Linked DNA regions of Elephas maximus indicus. The protein of the gene in region 1 interacts with the protein of each later gene in a pairwise test. Links are inferred from orthologs where the notes say so. Each region holds a gene or a part of one and is shown in the gene's direction. Other genes may lie near its edges.

Region 1 (8,337 bases):
TCCCCCTTTTGAGCCCTGCCCATCCCCCATGTTAATACTCTCTAAGACCACAGCTTCTGCAGTGTTTTGCTGATGCACTAAGGAACAGGCCAGGACCTGTCTGATAAGAACGTGGTAAACTTCACAGAGAGAATCCCTGGAGTGAAAAAGTTATAATGAGTACACGCAAAGAGTAACCAATCGGTAGTTTTCCAAATTGAATTTCCTCCTACACTGCTTTAGGTCTTGTGAAGAAACTATTAAAACAGCTTTTTAGAAATATTTAAAAAATCCTCACTCCTGGATAAGCCTATTTGCCTATGGCTTCACCAAAATCACTGGCCTAGATAACTGTTAGGTTAGTTACAAAGCGATAATTTGTGGCATTGTCTCACCTACTACCATGCTGAGGCTTCACTATGTGGTTAAATTAGAAATTGAGTCAGCAGAATAGAAGAGCTAACTCATGAATTTGTTTGCTGGGTAGGACATAAAGGGGAAGACTAGAAATTAATGTAGATAATTTCTGTCTTTGAATGTTTGAGGAATCAATTTAAAAAGGAAAAACAAATTGTAGCAGAAAGTAGCACACCTCTAACTCAGGTGCCTGCACTTTTACCCTTTTCTAACCAATTTTCCACAAAACAGTGATTTAAAACCCAGGTAGCATCCATTCACTCCCCAATATATAATCCTCTAGTAGCTTCCATTTGCTCCTGAACACCTCACAAACGTGGCCTCTATGGGTGCTGCCTGATCAGGCCCTTCAACAAGACACTTCTTTAATTTTCTGGATACAAGTTCTTTGTCAGATACATGTTTTGTGAATATTTTCTCCCAGTCTGTGGTTTGCCTTTTCATTTTCTTAATGGTATATTGTGATAAGCAGAAGCCTTTAATTTTGATGATGCTCAATTTAATAACTTTTCTTACATTGTCCATGCTTTTGGTGTCCTAAGAAATCTTGACCTACTCCAAGGTTGTGAAGATATTCCTTTGTTTTTTTCTAAAAGCTTTACAGTTTTTGCTATTACATTTAGATCTATGACCCATCTCAATTTTTTAAAATAGTGTGAGATAGAGATCGAGGTCCATTTTTTTCCATACGTTTATCTAGCTGTTCCACAGCCATTAGCTGAAAAGACTTTCCCTTCCTCATTGAATTACACTGGTGCCTTTTATCAAATACCAATTGACCATATGTGTGGGGGTCCATTTCTGGACTTGATGTTCTACTGATTTGTCTATCCTTATGCCCATATGGAGCCCTGGAGGTGCAGTGGTTAAGAGATCGGCTGCTAACCAAAAAGTTAACAGTTCGAACACACCAGCTCCTTCTTGGCAAACCCTACTTTGTCTTGTAAGTTCATTATGAGACTTGATGGAAATGGGTTTGGTATGCCAATAAACCATCTTGGATATTACAGCTTTGTATTAAATCTTATAATCAGGTAGTGAGACTTGCAATTTTTAAAAAGATCATTTTCGCTATTCTAGGTCCTTTGCATTTCTGCATTAGTGTTTAGAATCAACTTGTCAACTCCCCCCTCCCCCCACAAAAAAACTGTAGGGATTTTGTTGGGGACTGCATTGAATATGCAGATAGATCAATTTAGAAAACTGATATTTTCTCAATATTGAGTCTTCTAATTTCTGAACATGGTATAGCTCTGCATTTACTTAAAGCTTTATTTCTCTCAGCAATGTTTTAGTTTGTGTAGAGTTTTCATGTCTTTCAAAAAAGTTATAACTTTCATTTTTTGATGCTATGTAAATGGAATATCTAATTTTTTTTTTTTTTTTTTTTACTTTCCAGTTGTTGGCCGCTAGTATAGAAATCAAATTGATTTTTATATCTTGTGACCTTTCTAAATACACTTATTGGTTCCTGGTTCTAGTAGTTGTTTTTAGGTCCTATAGGATTTTCTATGTAAACAATACCTAAAGTTTGATGTTTTAAACAGAACGGACTGTAAATCCTTACTAAGATCTATTCTGTGGGCAAAAAAACTGCAAAGAAATCTTACACTTTATTCAGTTTTATTGTATTAGTAGCCATGTATTAATTTTGAAATTATTATATTGTAGGGTAAAACAAACAAGTTGACATTAATGTTATTAGGAACCAAGAGACACAAATACAGAATAAGAAAAGAAAAATCCTTCATGTTATATTTGTTATATTTAAACATATTTGTTATATTTGAATTGAAGGTATCTACTTGAATTTATGACTTAAAAAATATATATCTATTTCCTAGATCTGTCCACTGAGAGGGCCTAGAAGTAAGGACACCTGGTAGAAATAAGAATACATCCACAACTTGGTTTCTAACTCCTATTTCCCTCTAAAAGGAACCACAGGCCCTTGGAGAAATGGCTGATTCCCAGTCTGGGGCGGGGAAGGTATGAGGTGAGTCCGGACATCTTATTTTACCAGCGAGCAAGAAAGCTCTCAAAAAGACTCCTGTGTCCTTTGACATAGAAGTGTGCTTGAAAGGGCTCTCACTGGCCAAATTAGGGACAATTTGGAAGTCAAAAAGAACAATGACTGTAATGTATTTTAAACCATTTAATAAATAAAAATCCATTTGTCCATAGTGTTAAACAATAAAAACAAATGAAAATACTCGTTTCAGCATACAGTGATTATTACACTAATTCCAGACTCTAAAAATTGACAATTACAGGAAATACTCAAGTATTTACTCTGCTTCACCCCGCCCCCACCCGGCCAAAAGCATGTGGAACTCATTCCCAGTTGATTCTGTAAATAAAAAAATTTCTTATTTACAGAATGCCAGCTAATAAATGTAGAAAGATGCAATTAGAAAATCACTATTTTCAATGCTCAGTGAAAACTATTTAAGCAAGAATAATACATGAATGCTGAAAGTATTAAGTGAAAGGTTATTGGGGAACAGGATCAACTTTAGCATCAGTAATAACAGGACTCCAGGCACACTAAATGCTCCTACATAATGTAACCTGAAGTACACAGCCTCACGTATGAAGAATTTTTCTCCAGAAATGTTTAATCTGAATCTAATCAAGTCTTTACGTCTGGTCTCTCAAAAAGCCAATGTCATTTTAAAAAATTAAAAAAGGCTTAAGAAACTAATAAAAGATAACCAAATGCAATGTATAAACATTGATTAAATCCTGGCTTAAAAATAAACAAAATTATGAAGGAAATACTTGGGCAGTTGGGGATATGTAAATATGGACTAGATTATTACATAATACTAGGAAATTATGGGTAAATCTCTTAGAGGCTGACTAAGCCTTTTCTTGGCAAATCTCTTCCCTATTTCTCTGATAATGGCACCACCATTTTCTGCCAGTCAGGCTTAAAGAATCCTATGACACCCATCTCAGTCTTCTCTTCATTTCCACCACACCTCTGTCAGTACAGGTTTTCATCACTTCCTTTTTAACAGCTTTATTGAGATACCTCACATATCATACAATTCACCATTTAGTTACCCAACCATCACTACAATCAATTTTAGAACACTTTTACCACCCCTAAAAGAACCCCTGTACTCGTTAGCAGTCACTCCTTTTTAAGGATTGAATTGTTTCCCCCTGAAATGTGTCAACTTGGTTACACCATGGTTCTCAATAGTGTGTGGCAGTCCTCCATTTTTTGATTCGATGTAATCATTCTATGTGTTGTAAATTCTAACCTCTATGATGTTAATGAGGCAGGATTAGAGGCATTTATTTTTTTTTATGTTAATAAGGCAGGACAATCTACAGGACTATCTCTTTTGAGATATAATAGAGGACAGGAACCTCCTTACCACCAAACAAGAAGATGCAGAAGCTGAGTGAGTCCTCTGGACCCAGGGTCCCTGTGCTAAGAAGCTCCTAGACCAGAGAAAGATTGATGACAGAGACCTTCCCCCCAGAACCTAGACAGAGAGAGAGAGAGATAGAAAGCCTTCCCCTATAGCTGACGCCCTGAATTCGGATTTCCACCCTCCTAGAAGAATAAATTTGAGAGAATAAATTTGTTTGTTAAAGCCATTCACTTGTGGTATTTCTGTTACAGCCATACTAGATAACTAAGGCACTCCTCATCAGGTTTTTATCACTTCTGATCTGGCTTCTTACAACAGCCTAACTCCGCATCTTCAACTCTCTTTGTTCCAATTCGACTCATCTACACCACAGACGATGTGACTGCCCTAAAACATGGTTTAGCTATTATACCCTCTTCCCTAGATACCTTCAGTGACTCCCCCAAAGGACGCTTCGATTGAAGTAAACAAATACCCATTACCCAGTGAACCCCAGTGCCGTCGAGTCGATTCCGACTCATAGCGACCCTATAGGACAGAGTAGAACTGCCCCATAGTTTCCAAGGAGCGCCTGGTGGGGTTGAACTGCCGACCCTTTGATTAGTAGCCACACAATGTATTCAGGCACTGTGCTAGGTGCTAGGAACAAATGGCTCCAAGGCAGCCTTGACTTCTCTATTCTCCTACACTCTATTAAAAATGGATTAGTACTGAAGGCTTCTGTTATCGCCATAGCGTCTCCGCTCAGGAAGTTGCCTCTGCCTAGAAGGTTCCCTCTATCCTACCCCCTCATCATGCCCTCGGAAATCTTCCCCAACGTTCAAGGTCTATCTTCCCTAAGGAGTGGGTCCAAATCCCGCAGCACTTGAGAAGCTCTTAACACTTATCTAATTGGCTCGCTTGCACATACTCGAAGCTCAACACACATCTGCAGAACTGAACATATCCTTTGGACGCAGCGAAGCTCCACTGCGCGCCATCTCCAGCCTCTCTCCCAACATCGCGATTGGCTCTCCAACGTTTTCCCCTCTCTCTCTCCTAGCCCTCTATGACCGGAAATGACTTGAGGCGAGGGCGCCTCCGAAATCCCATGGATCATAGATTTGAGCGACTCCCGGGAAGAGCGAGCTAGAAAGGGTCTGCTCTTCCGGGTCAGGTCTGCGCGAAGAAACTCCAGATCTCAGTTGTCCCAGCTTCCGTTTGGGAGAACAGAACCGCCCCCTTCCCGCGCTCCTCGGCGTCCCGGGCCCGCCCTGACGCTGGCGGTGACGGATGGCGGCGGCGGTAGATTAGGGCCGTGGGTCAAAGCAGGCACAGCCGCTGGGGGACCCTGTCGGAAGCAACTGCCGCTGTCGCCGCCACTTTCATCTCTTCTGGGGCAGGGGCCAGGGCCAGGTGAGGGGAGTGGGGTTCTGGGCACGCAGAGCTGGGCTAGGAGGCGGTTTCACCTCCGTAGGACGGTGTCCAGAGACTGTGCCGACCCCACCGGCTCCCCAGTGGTCCCAGCGAAGCGTGAGTGAGTAAAAGAGTGTGTGTGTGTGCCGACGCCCCTTCGCCTGAGAGCTCGCGAAGCCACGGGGTCCGTTTCATTATAACCGGACTTATCCAGCGTGGTCTCGCCGTGAAAGCGTGTTGAGCAGAGCGTCTCCCTGAGTGGGCTGCCTGAGGCGCAGGAACTTGGCCCATTCTCCGCACCGCTGTTATTCTCCACGGCTGTCTTCACGTGGAAAACCGGTTCCATTTTTAGGACCAGACTGGGGAAAGTGGACTTCTCTTGGTCTCAAAAAAGGTTTTTATGCGACTCACTTGGAATGATTATAGATCCGCTCTGTCAGTCGCTCATTGTCACAGATAGTTAGAAATCTTGGACTTCTTATTCTAAATTCACTGTTGTTCTGACGCCCATTATTTTTTTCATAAAAACCTGCATTCTTACCCTCAGAGGCAATACCGTTCACACTGAGTCCTTCTTTGCTCGCAACATTCCAAGGAGAGGATAAGGAGATCCCAAGTTTCTTTCCTTCATAACCGAACATGAGGGAGAATTTGGAATTTTTGAGTTGAAGCTGATTTCTTTGACTTAGCGTAATGTTTTTGAAAATCGGACGGATCTGACTAGTTGTTCACATGCTCTTGACTGGTATTAGCTCTGTTTAGCTCTTAACCGCTCCCTGCACAAGTTGTTTATCCGTAATCACTATTTCTGTCTCTACGTAGAAGTTTTGAACTGAGCTGACAGTTTGTCCCCTCCCTCTTTTTTTGGCTTTATGGTTTAAAGCAAAACAAACAAAAAGCCTTTTTTACGAAATTGTCTGTAGAATTTTTCCCCGGAGGCTTGGTATAAACCAGAATGTTGACCTCTGCCCTGACTTGTTGTGTGACCTTGGATGAGATGCCACACCCTTCTGATGCCTTTTTTTAAAAAAAACCCAGAAAATTAAGTATTGTGTGAACTGCTTAGACTTCACGTACACAGTTGGACATTTGTACCTGCACATTTGATCCTGCAGACTGAAAATACTTAAGCCATTATGAAGTACTCTTCATTTGATAATAGGCAGTTAAGCGTTTTGTAAATCCTCTTTAATCTGAATGGCCCGGTACCATTCTAAATTTTTTTTTTAAATGACTTATTTTCTTATGGAGGAATGTGACATAGAAGTTGAATTCAACTTAAGATGGGTCGTTTTGAGTCGGAATCAACTTGACCGCAACAGGTTTTTTTTGTTTAAGGTTGAATCCAGCCAGCTTTGTAAAGAAAAGTGTGCTTAGTAGCTCATCAGTTAATAAATCAGATAATATATTTATTCAGTAATAATCATTGTTTTAAAAATATTTTTCTTAAATATTTTAGACAATTTTTAAATAATCACTTAGTACCCACCCTGCTGCTTATTGCTTTTTCATACATGATTTTGATCCATATCTTAATCCAAATAAACGGTCATCAAGAGTTCTTGCTTAATGTATATTACAGAGTTGAAGGGGAGCCATTTCCAGAGTAGCTGATTTTTTTTAACAGCTTCATTGAGACATAATGAGTATTCCATACAATCTACGAATTGTACAATTCAGTGATTTTTTACTACATTCACAGAGTTGTACAAGCATTTTCATTACTCCAAAAAGAAACACCATAGCCATTGGTAGTCGTTCCCCATGCCTGGCCCTCACCCATTCCCTCCCCATCCCAGGCAACCACTAATCTATTTTTTGTCTGTGTATAGACTTGCCTGTTCTGGAAATTTCACATAAATGGAATACACAACATTTGGTCTTTTGTAGGTGATTTCTTTGACTTAGCATAGTATTTTCAGGATTCATCCATTTTGTAGCATGTATCGTGATTTCTTTCCATTTTATGGCCAAATAATATTCCGTTGTATGAATATACTACATTTTATTCATTAGTCGGTTTAGGTTAGTTGTACTTTTTGGCTCTTATGAATAATGAATATGTAATGCTGTTACGAACATTTGTGTATAAATTCTTGTGTTTCGTTTTCTCTTGGGTATATACCTGGAAGTGAAAGAGTAATCAAATTTTATGTCTATTTTGGATTTGTGTCTTTAACGACTGTTATGTTTATGTAGAATTCTGTGTCCTCAAGCTATATACATATAAATGGGAAGCTTAATTAACCTGTTGTGGGAGTCAGATTTTTTGTGTGTGTTTGTGGGAAGACTTGAGAATGAGGCCTTCCTCTCTACATATAACCACCAACTGCCGTGGATTAGATTCCGAATATATGTAGCAACTCTACGTATATTACCTAGAAATGCCAACTGCTGAGTGAAAATATTTTGGGGACAGCTCTTAACACGAGATTGAACTAGAGTGTTTCCATTAGGCATGTATGTTCAATTGGAAGAAGAGAGCCTACATAACAACTTACTGTCTGCTGAGTTTTAAAAAAATGACACCTTGCTTGTCTTGCGTTTTGCAGGTGGGTGGGATGAATTTGCAGCTTCACAATCTTTATTAAAAAACCCAGTGCCATCGAGTTGGCTCTGACTCATAGCGACCCTATAGGACAGAGTAGAACTGCCCCATAGAGTTTCCAAGGAGCGCCTGGTGGAGTCGAACTGCTGACTCTTTGGTTGGCAGCCGTAGCGCTTAACCATACGCCACCAGGGTTTCCGCAATCTTTTTTAGGATTATTCTGCTTCTTCTGAAGAAAGTCTTAGGATTCTATGTTGTTGTTCTGTGCCTTCAAGTCGACAGGACTGTATAAAAAAAAAAAATAAGTAAAACATGGCTTAGAAAATGCAGTTATTGGATTTCATGTTAATTTGCAGAATTAAAAAAAAAAACAAAAAACTTACCTGCTCAAACTATCAGCCTTGAGTCTAGAGATCTGGTAGTCAAGAAGTGTTAATGTTTAAAATTCCAGAGTCTTAATTTAGGACTGAGTTATCTGTGGATTTTTAGGTTTTTATTTTTCTCTCCATAAGCTGGAATTGGAAACCCTGGTGGCATAGCAGTTAAGTGCTGTGGCTGCTAACCAAGAGGTCGGCAGTTCGAATCTGCCAGGCACTACTTGGAAACTCT
Region 2 (7,365 bases), on another chromosome or scaffold:
AAGAGGAGGACGACGACGAGGAAGATGCCGACAGCCACACGGTCAGGGGAGGGGCTAGTGCCCCCTCCTACCTGAGCCCCAGCCCCCAGCCTGTGGCACCACCACCCCAGGGTGAGTGGAGTGAAGAGGGCGGGGCTGGCGGGCCCCAGTCCTCTCCAGCGCTCACACTTCCTTCTCCTCCAGGCCCTGGCTGGACGGCCACCTTTGACCCAGTGCCTACTGAAGCCTCCGCAGGCCCCTGCATCTCCGGGGGTGAAGAGCCCAGGCCCATGGCCCCCCAGGGGCCTTGTGATGGTCCCCAGAGCCCACCTGCCCCAAGCCTGGCTGTCCTTCCAGCCAGCGAAGGCCTGCAGGTTAGGTGAGGATGCAGTGAGGAGCCTGGGTGGAGGGTGGGGTGCGGTGCCCTGCCCATGTCACGGCCTCACCTCCTACTGCCTGGCTCCTTCCAGGTCTGAGGACCCTGCAGCCCCTTCAGCACCTCAGGAAGCCTCCACTGGTAGCAGTGTTGCAGAGCCTGTGGGTGAGGAGCACCCCCACACCATCCCCCACCTCACTGACACCTTTCCCGCGCCTTTCCCCTTGCACCTTCCGCCTCGCAGGTACCTCACTGCTTCTTCCTCTCCTCCTGCCGCAGCCCCCTGCCAGGCCTTGGTCAGCGTCGGGGACCTCCAGGCTACCCTCAGCGGGATGCGTGGCACCCCCAGCTCCTTAGACAGGTGACAGGCTGGGTGCCATCAGCGGTGGGGGTGGTGCCAGGTCCTCCCTGGTTGACGTGGGGCCTGGCTTGTCCACCCAGAGCTGCTCAGACCACCCGGGCCCATTGTCTGTGTCTCAGGGACTGCTTGTTCCTCCACCCCACCCCTATTCCTCTCCTTGCGCCTCATAGGGCTGTACCTCTGTCAGTGACAGGGTGGCCAGATGGTGGTATTGGGCCAGGGGCTTCCAGAAGGGTAGGGGAGACTCTAGTCAGGAGGAGCGGGGCCTCAAAAAAGGGACGGGAGAGCAGGGAGAGGTCTCTGTCAGCATCCACAGGGATTGGTGTGCCATGGGGCATCGCCCTGCGTTGGGCCTGGAATGCAGGTTCCCACAGGGGCTGAGGGCTGAGTGGGCTGGGGCAAGGGGCTAGTTTGATGCTGTGCCAGGGCTCCCCATGCCCGTGACCATGCCCCAGATGGGCGCCCCGACTGACACAGGATGGCCAGGTACCTGCGAGGGATCTTCAGCATCACTGACTTCCCCTCTCCTTCCTCAGTGCAACCAGAGACCCCTCTACCTCTGTCCCAGCCACCGGGGCCCAGCAGCCCCCCGAGACCACCGAGGGGGAGAAGAATCCAGCGCCCTTGGGGCTGCCTCAAAGCCAGAGGTGAGCAGTGGTGCGGCCAGCAGGGTGGGCAGGGACCACATGGGCATAAGGGTGACCCCTGGTGTCGCTTTTCTGACAGTGCCCAGCCCCTCCAGCCGCCTCAGATGCCCAGTGGCTCCACCCCAGGCGGGCCTATGGCCCCGGTCTCCCAGTGAGTATGACTGGGGCAGGACCGTGAGGGCGGGTTGGTGGGTAGCTGGCCGGTGGGCGTTCCCAGACTCCCAGTGAGTATGGCTGTGCCGGGACCATGGGGGCAGGCAGGTGGTGGGTGGGCGTTCCCAGGCTCCCAGTGAGTATAGCTGTGCTGGGACCACAGGGACAGGTGGGTGGTGGGAGGTGTTCCTGGGTTCCCAGTGAGTTTGGCTATGCTGGGACCCCACGGACAGACAGTGAGCTGGTGTCCCAGGGCTCACCTGGTATCTCCCTCTGTTCTAGGTGACAGCCTGGTCCTGGCGGTGGCAGCGGTGGCCATAGCGCCCATACTCCCATGGACTCTGCCCGGGGTGGGGGCAGGGCCGGGTCCTGGGCCCCCACTCCCCCGCCCCCACCCCATCAACCCTCACCCACATTCTTTCTCTGGGCTCCCAGGAGCTGGTGTCCGAGGGAGACCGCCCACCCCATCCCCATTTGCACTGAAAATTGTTGGAGTTTTGCCTCCTAGAATAAAAATATAGAGAGTCGACTAGAGAACGAGGAGAGAGAGAGACCTATATTATAAACTATATATATATATTGTGGAGAAGAGGAAGGGCACCTGGGTCATGTGGGCGCCTGGGGGACATCTGGCTCTGAAGCACAACCTTACCCCATCCTACCTGTCCCTTCCCGGCAAGGCCGGTTGGGTGTGGCCTCACCACACGCAGACAGCGTCCCTTTCACTTGTCTGAAGCAGAGTGTAGCTCCCCACCTCAAGCAGACCACCAACACACACACTCACATCTGGTCTCAGCTCAGGGCCTCCTGGGGGGAAGCTGGGAGGGTAGGGGAAACTGGGGGCTGGGGTGGGCGGTGCCTTTGCCAAGCCCCCTCCCCTAGCCCTGCACTGTCACCCAGCCTGGAAACCCAAGGGCTCTGCTGGGGACAGGGCTGGGGTCCCATACATGGGGGCGCCCTGTAACATTCCCTTGGGGCCCTAGACTCCCCGCCGATGCCCCACTCTTTCCCCCTTTGGCCTCTTTCAGCTCCGGGTAGGGGTCTGGCTGGGGGCCCCCTTCATCCCAAGTGTCTGGGGCTCCAACCCCAGCTGCCAAGTGACCTTGTCCCAGCGTCCTGTCCCCAAGCGAGCTGCGTGAGTGGTGCGTGTCTGTGCGAGCTTTATTTCATATTGCAAATACAATAAAGGAAACCGTTGACAACTGCTGGTGCTGCAGGCTGAGTGAGGGGCACAGGGCGGGGCCGAATGAGATAGCCACAGTGGTTTCTTCTGGGGCTGCAAGATCGCTGCTCCCTTTCCCAAGGAATCATGTCCCCAGTTCTCCCCTGGGGGAGGGGCGACAACTTCTGCCCAGAACAGGAAGGGGTTTCTCCGGGCAGGAAGTGAGCCCAGCAACCTCTTCAAGTTCAAGCTGAGGCCTGGCACCCGGTCTTGGGTGACTTCCAGTCCCACATGTCCCCATCACACGATGCAGGCTTAAGGCCATACAGCTGACGAACGCACAGCCCCCACAAGTGAGACAACCGACTGAGGAATAAAGCCCTACATAGCACAGGGGTGGTGGTCTCAGTTTCCTTCCAGACCCTAATAGCCCCTGCTGCATTGTGGGGCTTGTCGACGCCTGGACTGTCCATCGCAGCCCCACAACTAAACAGCCGGTGGCTGTCCTCTGAGCCCATGTTCTCCCGGTGACACGGGGCCACCTGCCTGACTTTGAGGTCATGAGCTCGCCCTGTTCACTGCCTGTGCTACACATTGAGGCGCAGCTGTGTGCACGTGGGGATCAACCTTGGTGTCCTTTGAAAGCCTGAAACTAGAAAACAAAGAAGTTGCTGCAGGGTCAGTGTGGAAACCTCAGTGTTGGTCATACCCATGTGCAGACTGGCCCTGGTGACCAGCGTTGTCCTCATGAGCCTCAAGGACAAGGCCCCTGAGGCCAGTGAGAACAGCTGCAGCTCACTCTATGTGTGCCCCGTCTTCATGCCTTGAGTACTTGTAGGGGGATGTCTGGGGCCGTGGGCTCAGAGGGGCTTGGGGACGAAAGATGGGATGCTGAGGACGGCAGATGGTGTTGGAGGGAGTCTGTACTCACCCCCCAGGGCAGCGAGTGGAGAGGGGTCTGCTAAGTCAGGCACTGTCCTCCCTGCTGGCAGTGTGACCGCCTGTGGGCTGGGAGGTATGAATTGCACCCCCTCTGCCTCTGTGGGGGGACCTGTGAACCTTGCCCCATTCCCTTTTGATTGATTGGCAACTAGATAGTAGCGGGTTCCACCTCATGGCCCCCTGACAGAGAGGAGGAGACCAGGCAGGGGAGGAGTTGCAGGTTCGGGAGGGAGGGATTACTGGATCCCACTGGGCATGTTATCAGCCAGTGCCAGGCTGGGCTGTGTCAGGGCTGGGGGTGGCATCTCTCTGGGCCCTCTTATCAGCCCCAGAGTCCACAGGACGCTCGTCCAGGTTAACGTGTAACTATGCACCCTCCCCTTCACCCCCCCCCCACCAAAGCCACCAGTGCTCAGGCAGAGGTGACGGGGGTGTGAGAAACCAGCATGGACACCAGAGGAAGGGGGCCACCCCGGGAGCCTGGCCTTGCAGTCCACGTGAGAGCCCTTGGTGGGGAGGGGGAAGTGGGGCAATGGGGCGGGGTCCTAAGGACCAGGCTAGAGGCTGAGGGACCCTTGATTAAGGAATTGGCTGGTGTCCTGCCCTCCTAAGGGACCAGGGTCCTAGTCCTGGGCAGGCTGGAGGCCTGGTGACAGCAGGGCGTGGGCGGGAGCCCCCACACCTGGATACTGTCCCAGCTGGATCCAGGGCCCAAGGGCGCTGGGGTGGTAGGTCCTGGCTGTTAGGTGGACTGAGGACCCTGAGAGGCAAGGGTGGTCTGGAGCGTGGTTCTGGAGCTCAGCAGCCCTCCCCCTGTTCTCCCCAAGAACGTACACATCGCCAGGTGGCTCAGCCCCTTCTTCCTCACCTGCACTATCTACTTCCTCCTCTGGAACCCTGAGGACCCACCATCCCCGCTTCATGCCCTGGTCAAATGTCTGCCCGTGCTCTGCCTGGCTGTGTGCCTGCGGGCCTTGTCCCCCAGCAGGAGCTACACTGCGCTCGTGCAGGGAGCCTTGCTGTGCTCGGCTGTGGGAGACATCTGCCTCATCTGGCCTGACGCCTTCCTGTACGGTGAGCGGGCCGCATCATGACACCTCTCGGGGACCTAATTTAAGATGCTCTACAGAGGAGTTGAGCAGCACTGGGGCTCAGGGGAGACTTTTTGGTGGAGCACGTACCACTAGCCAGGTGGTGAGCGGGTTTCAAAGGCAGCAACTGCCAGGACAGACAAAACTACCTGCCCTCATGGAGCTGGCATCCCAGTGTGGGGGACCAGAGTATGATGTTAGGAGGCGGTAAGTGCCACGGAAGGAGCCCTGGTGGCACAACACTTGAGCCCTCAGCTGCTAGCTGAAAGGTCAGTGGTTCAAACCCACCCAGTGGCTCCACTGGAAAAAGATCTGGTGATCTGTTCCCATAAAGATGACAGCCTAGGAAACCCTATGGGGCAGTTCTCTGTCACACGGGTCACTATGACTCAGAAACGACTCAACTTCATACAACAACAAGGGGCATGGAGAATTAAGATTGACCAGGGGCAGGGTTGGTATGCAGTGTTAAATATAGTAATCGGGAATGGCTTCCATGAGAAGGTAGCATCTGGGCAAAGTCCTGAAGGAACGGATGGAGCTAACCACAGGCGTATCTGGGGGTGGGGCCTTCCAGGCAGAGAGACTAACACGTGCAAAGTCCCTGAGGTAGGTGCGGTCCTGGTGACTGTCTAAAGAGGTGGCTGGGGCAGAAGGTGTGGACCTTGTAGGCCACAGTCAGTAAAGATAACTGGGTGCTCTCTTGGGGTGTCATGGGGGTGGGTGGAGGGTTTAGAGCAGGGGAGCATGATTTGGTGTGCATTTTAAGATATCCCCAACTGCCGGAGGTTCCTGGGTGGTACAACTGGTTTGTACCACTGACCGGTTGGTGGTTCAAACTCACCCAGTAGCTCTGTGGAAAAAAGTTCTGACAATCTGCTTCTGTAAAGGTTACAGCCAAGGAAGCCCTGTGGAGCAGTTCTACTCTGACACACAATAGGGTTGCCATGAGTCAGAATTGATGACAACAGTTTTTATTTATTTTGTTTTTTCTGACTGCTGTGTTGAAAACTGACTGGGAGGCAAGGGCAGTTGGGCAACACTGTAATCCCAGCACGAGATGATAGTGGCAGGGATTGGGCGGGAGCAGGGCCCTCCCTTCAGGTTTGTGTGGTGGTGGTGGCCCAGGGGAAGAGGAAAAGTGGGGAGAATCAGGAGGACTTACGGACCACCACCCTCACTGGGCGCCCAACCCCTCTTACAGGCATGGTTGCCTTTGCCACAGCCCACCTCCTCTACCTCGCGACCTTCGGCTTCTCCCCACTGCAGCCGGCCACCCTACTGCCCGTTGCCCTGGCCTGTATTCCATACTACGGCCTCCTGCTGCCACACCTGCCCCCGGACAAGGCCCTACCTGTGGCAGCCTACGCCCTCCTGCTGGCTGCAGTGCTGTGGCGTGGCCTGGTCTGGGGAGGCAGTGCCGGCCTGGGAGCTCTGCTCTTCACAATCTCGGATGCTGTGCTGGCCTGGGATGCCTTTGCCCAGCCCCTGCCCCGCGCCCACTTGGTGGTCATGACCACCTACTACGCTGCCCAGGCTCTCATCACTCTGTCAGCCATCAGTGGCCCCAGGCACAAAAGGAACTGACCTTGCCCTGTCCATTCCCCTCCCCTGCTGCCAGGATACTTGGGCTTCTTGGACCTCCTATCCCAAGAGGAGTCCCATGGAGCGTACTTCTGGACTCCTGCCTGTGGGCACAGCGGGCTCAGAACATTGGGTACTGTTTGTGAAATTCCCTTTCTACCATAGAGTTCCAGAAATCTCCCTTCAGTTCCATGTTCAGGTTCCAGACCCCTCACCAGACCCACAGCTTGCCTCTCCATCCCTCTGCCTCCTCTCCTGGCTCTAATCTATTTTTTCACTAAGTAAAGTGGGTATTGAAATGGCAATATCTCATTATTTTGGGAGGGATGTGGTCACAATTAATGGCACCAAGTGTTTATTAAGTGCTGACTGTGACCCAGGCCCAGCATCCAGGGCTTATGGAACATGTTACAGAATTCTCCCCACAGCCCTATGATGTGGGAGGTTCATGATTCCCATTTTACAGGGGAGAATTTAAAGAGCTGATGCCCACAGGAGACTGGTCACATATCACATTAGGGGAGGAGAGGGTTGGGGAGGCGAGGAGACTCAAACATGAAGAGGCCTTCCAGGAGGGGGTGGGTGGCAAGGGGGTAGGAACAGAGCACTCTGGTTTTGTGGGCTCTACCTTGGCTGTCTGCCCTTGTCAAGCTGTTTCTCCTATCTGGGCCTCAGGTTCTGCATCTGTAGACATGAGGCGTCACAACTACACTCCAAGGCCCCATGGCACTCGGCTTCTACAGTCCATGATGTGCGTTTGAGGACTTTTACAGCAGAGAGGAGACTTCGGCATTCCATGAAGTGCACTTAAGAACTCTTATAACAAAGAGGAGGCTTCTACATGCCATGAGGTGTATTTAGGGACTCTTATGACAGAGAGAGGACTTCTACATTCCATGATGTGCATTTGGGGACTCTTAAGCGGAGAGGAGAGTTCTACATTCTGTGAAGTGCACTTATGAACTCTTAGAGCAGTGAGGAGACTTCTACATTTCATGATGTGCATTTAGGAACTCTTACAGCAGAGAGGAGACTTCTGTATTCCGTGATGTGTATTTAGGGACTCTTAC

Evidence for each region.
Region 2: the proteins of BCL2L13 (region 1) and TMEM86B interact in binary tests that used the Homo sapiens proteins (3 or more experiments, as listed by UniProt). The two-hybrid records come from large-scale screens. The link is inferred for Elephas maximus indicus from reciprocal best matches to the Homo sapiens genes BCL2L13 and TMEM86B.

The regions. Positions count from the first base shown.
Region 1 is NC_064822.1:55,261,068-55,269,404, reverse strand, and holds the start of BCL2L13 (bcl-2-like protein 13), read left to right. Parts: upstream 1-4,984; 5' UTR 4,985-5,180; intron 5,181-5,187; exon of another isoform or gene 5,188-5,301; intron 5,302-8,337. UniProt on the Homo sapiens protein: May promote the activation of caspase-3 and apoptosis.
Region 2 is NC_064829.1:91,778,384-91,785,748, forward strand, and holds TMEM86B (lysoplasmalogenase), read left to right. Parts: upstream 1-3,942; 5' UTR 3,943-4,066; coding exon 4,067-4,117; intron 4,118-4,447; coding exon 4,448-4,694; intron 4,695-5,915; coding exon 5,916-6,298; 3' UTR 6,299-6,588; downstream 6,589-7,365. Other genes in the region: PPP6R1 (serine/threonine-protein phosphatase 6 regulatory subunit 1), read left to right, coding at 1-111, 184-358, 450-520, 635-716, 1,253-1,363, 1,443-1,514, 1,799-1,802. UniProt on the Homo sapiens protein: Catalyzes the hydrolysis of the vinyl ether bond of choline or ethanolamine lysoplasmalogens, forming fatty aldehyde and glycerophosphocholine or glycerophosphoethanolamine, respectively and is specific for the sn-2-deacylated (lyso) form of plasmalogen.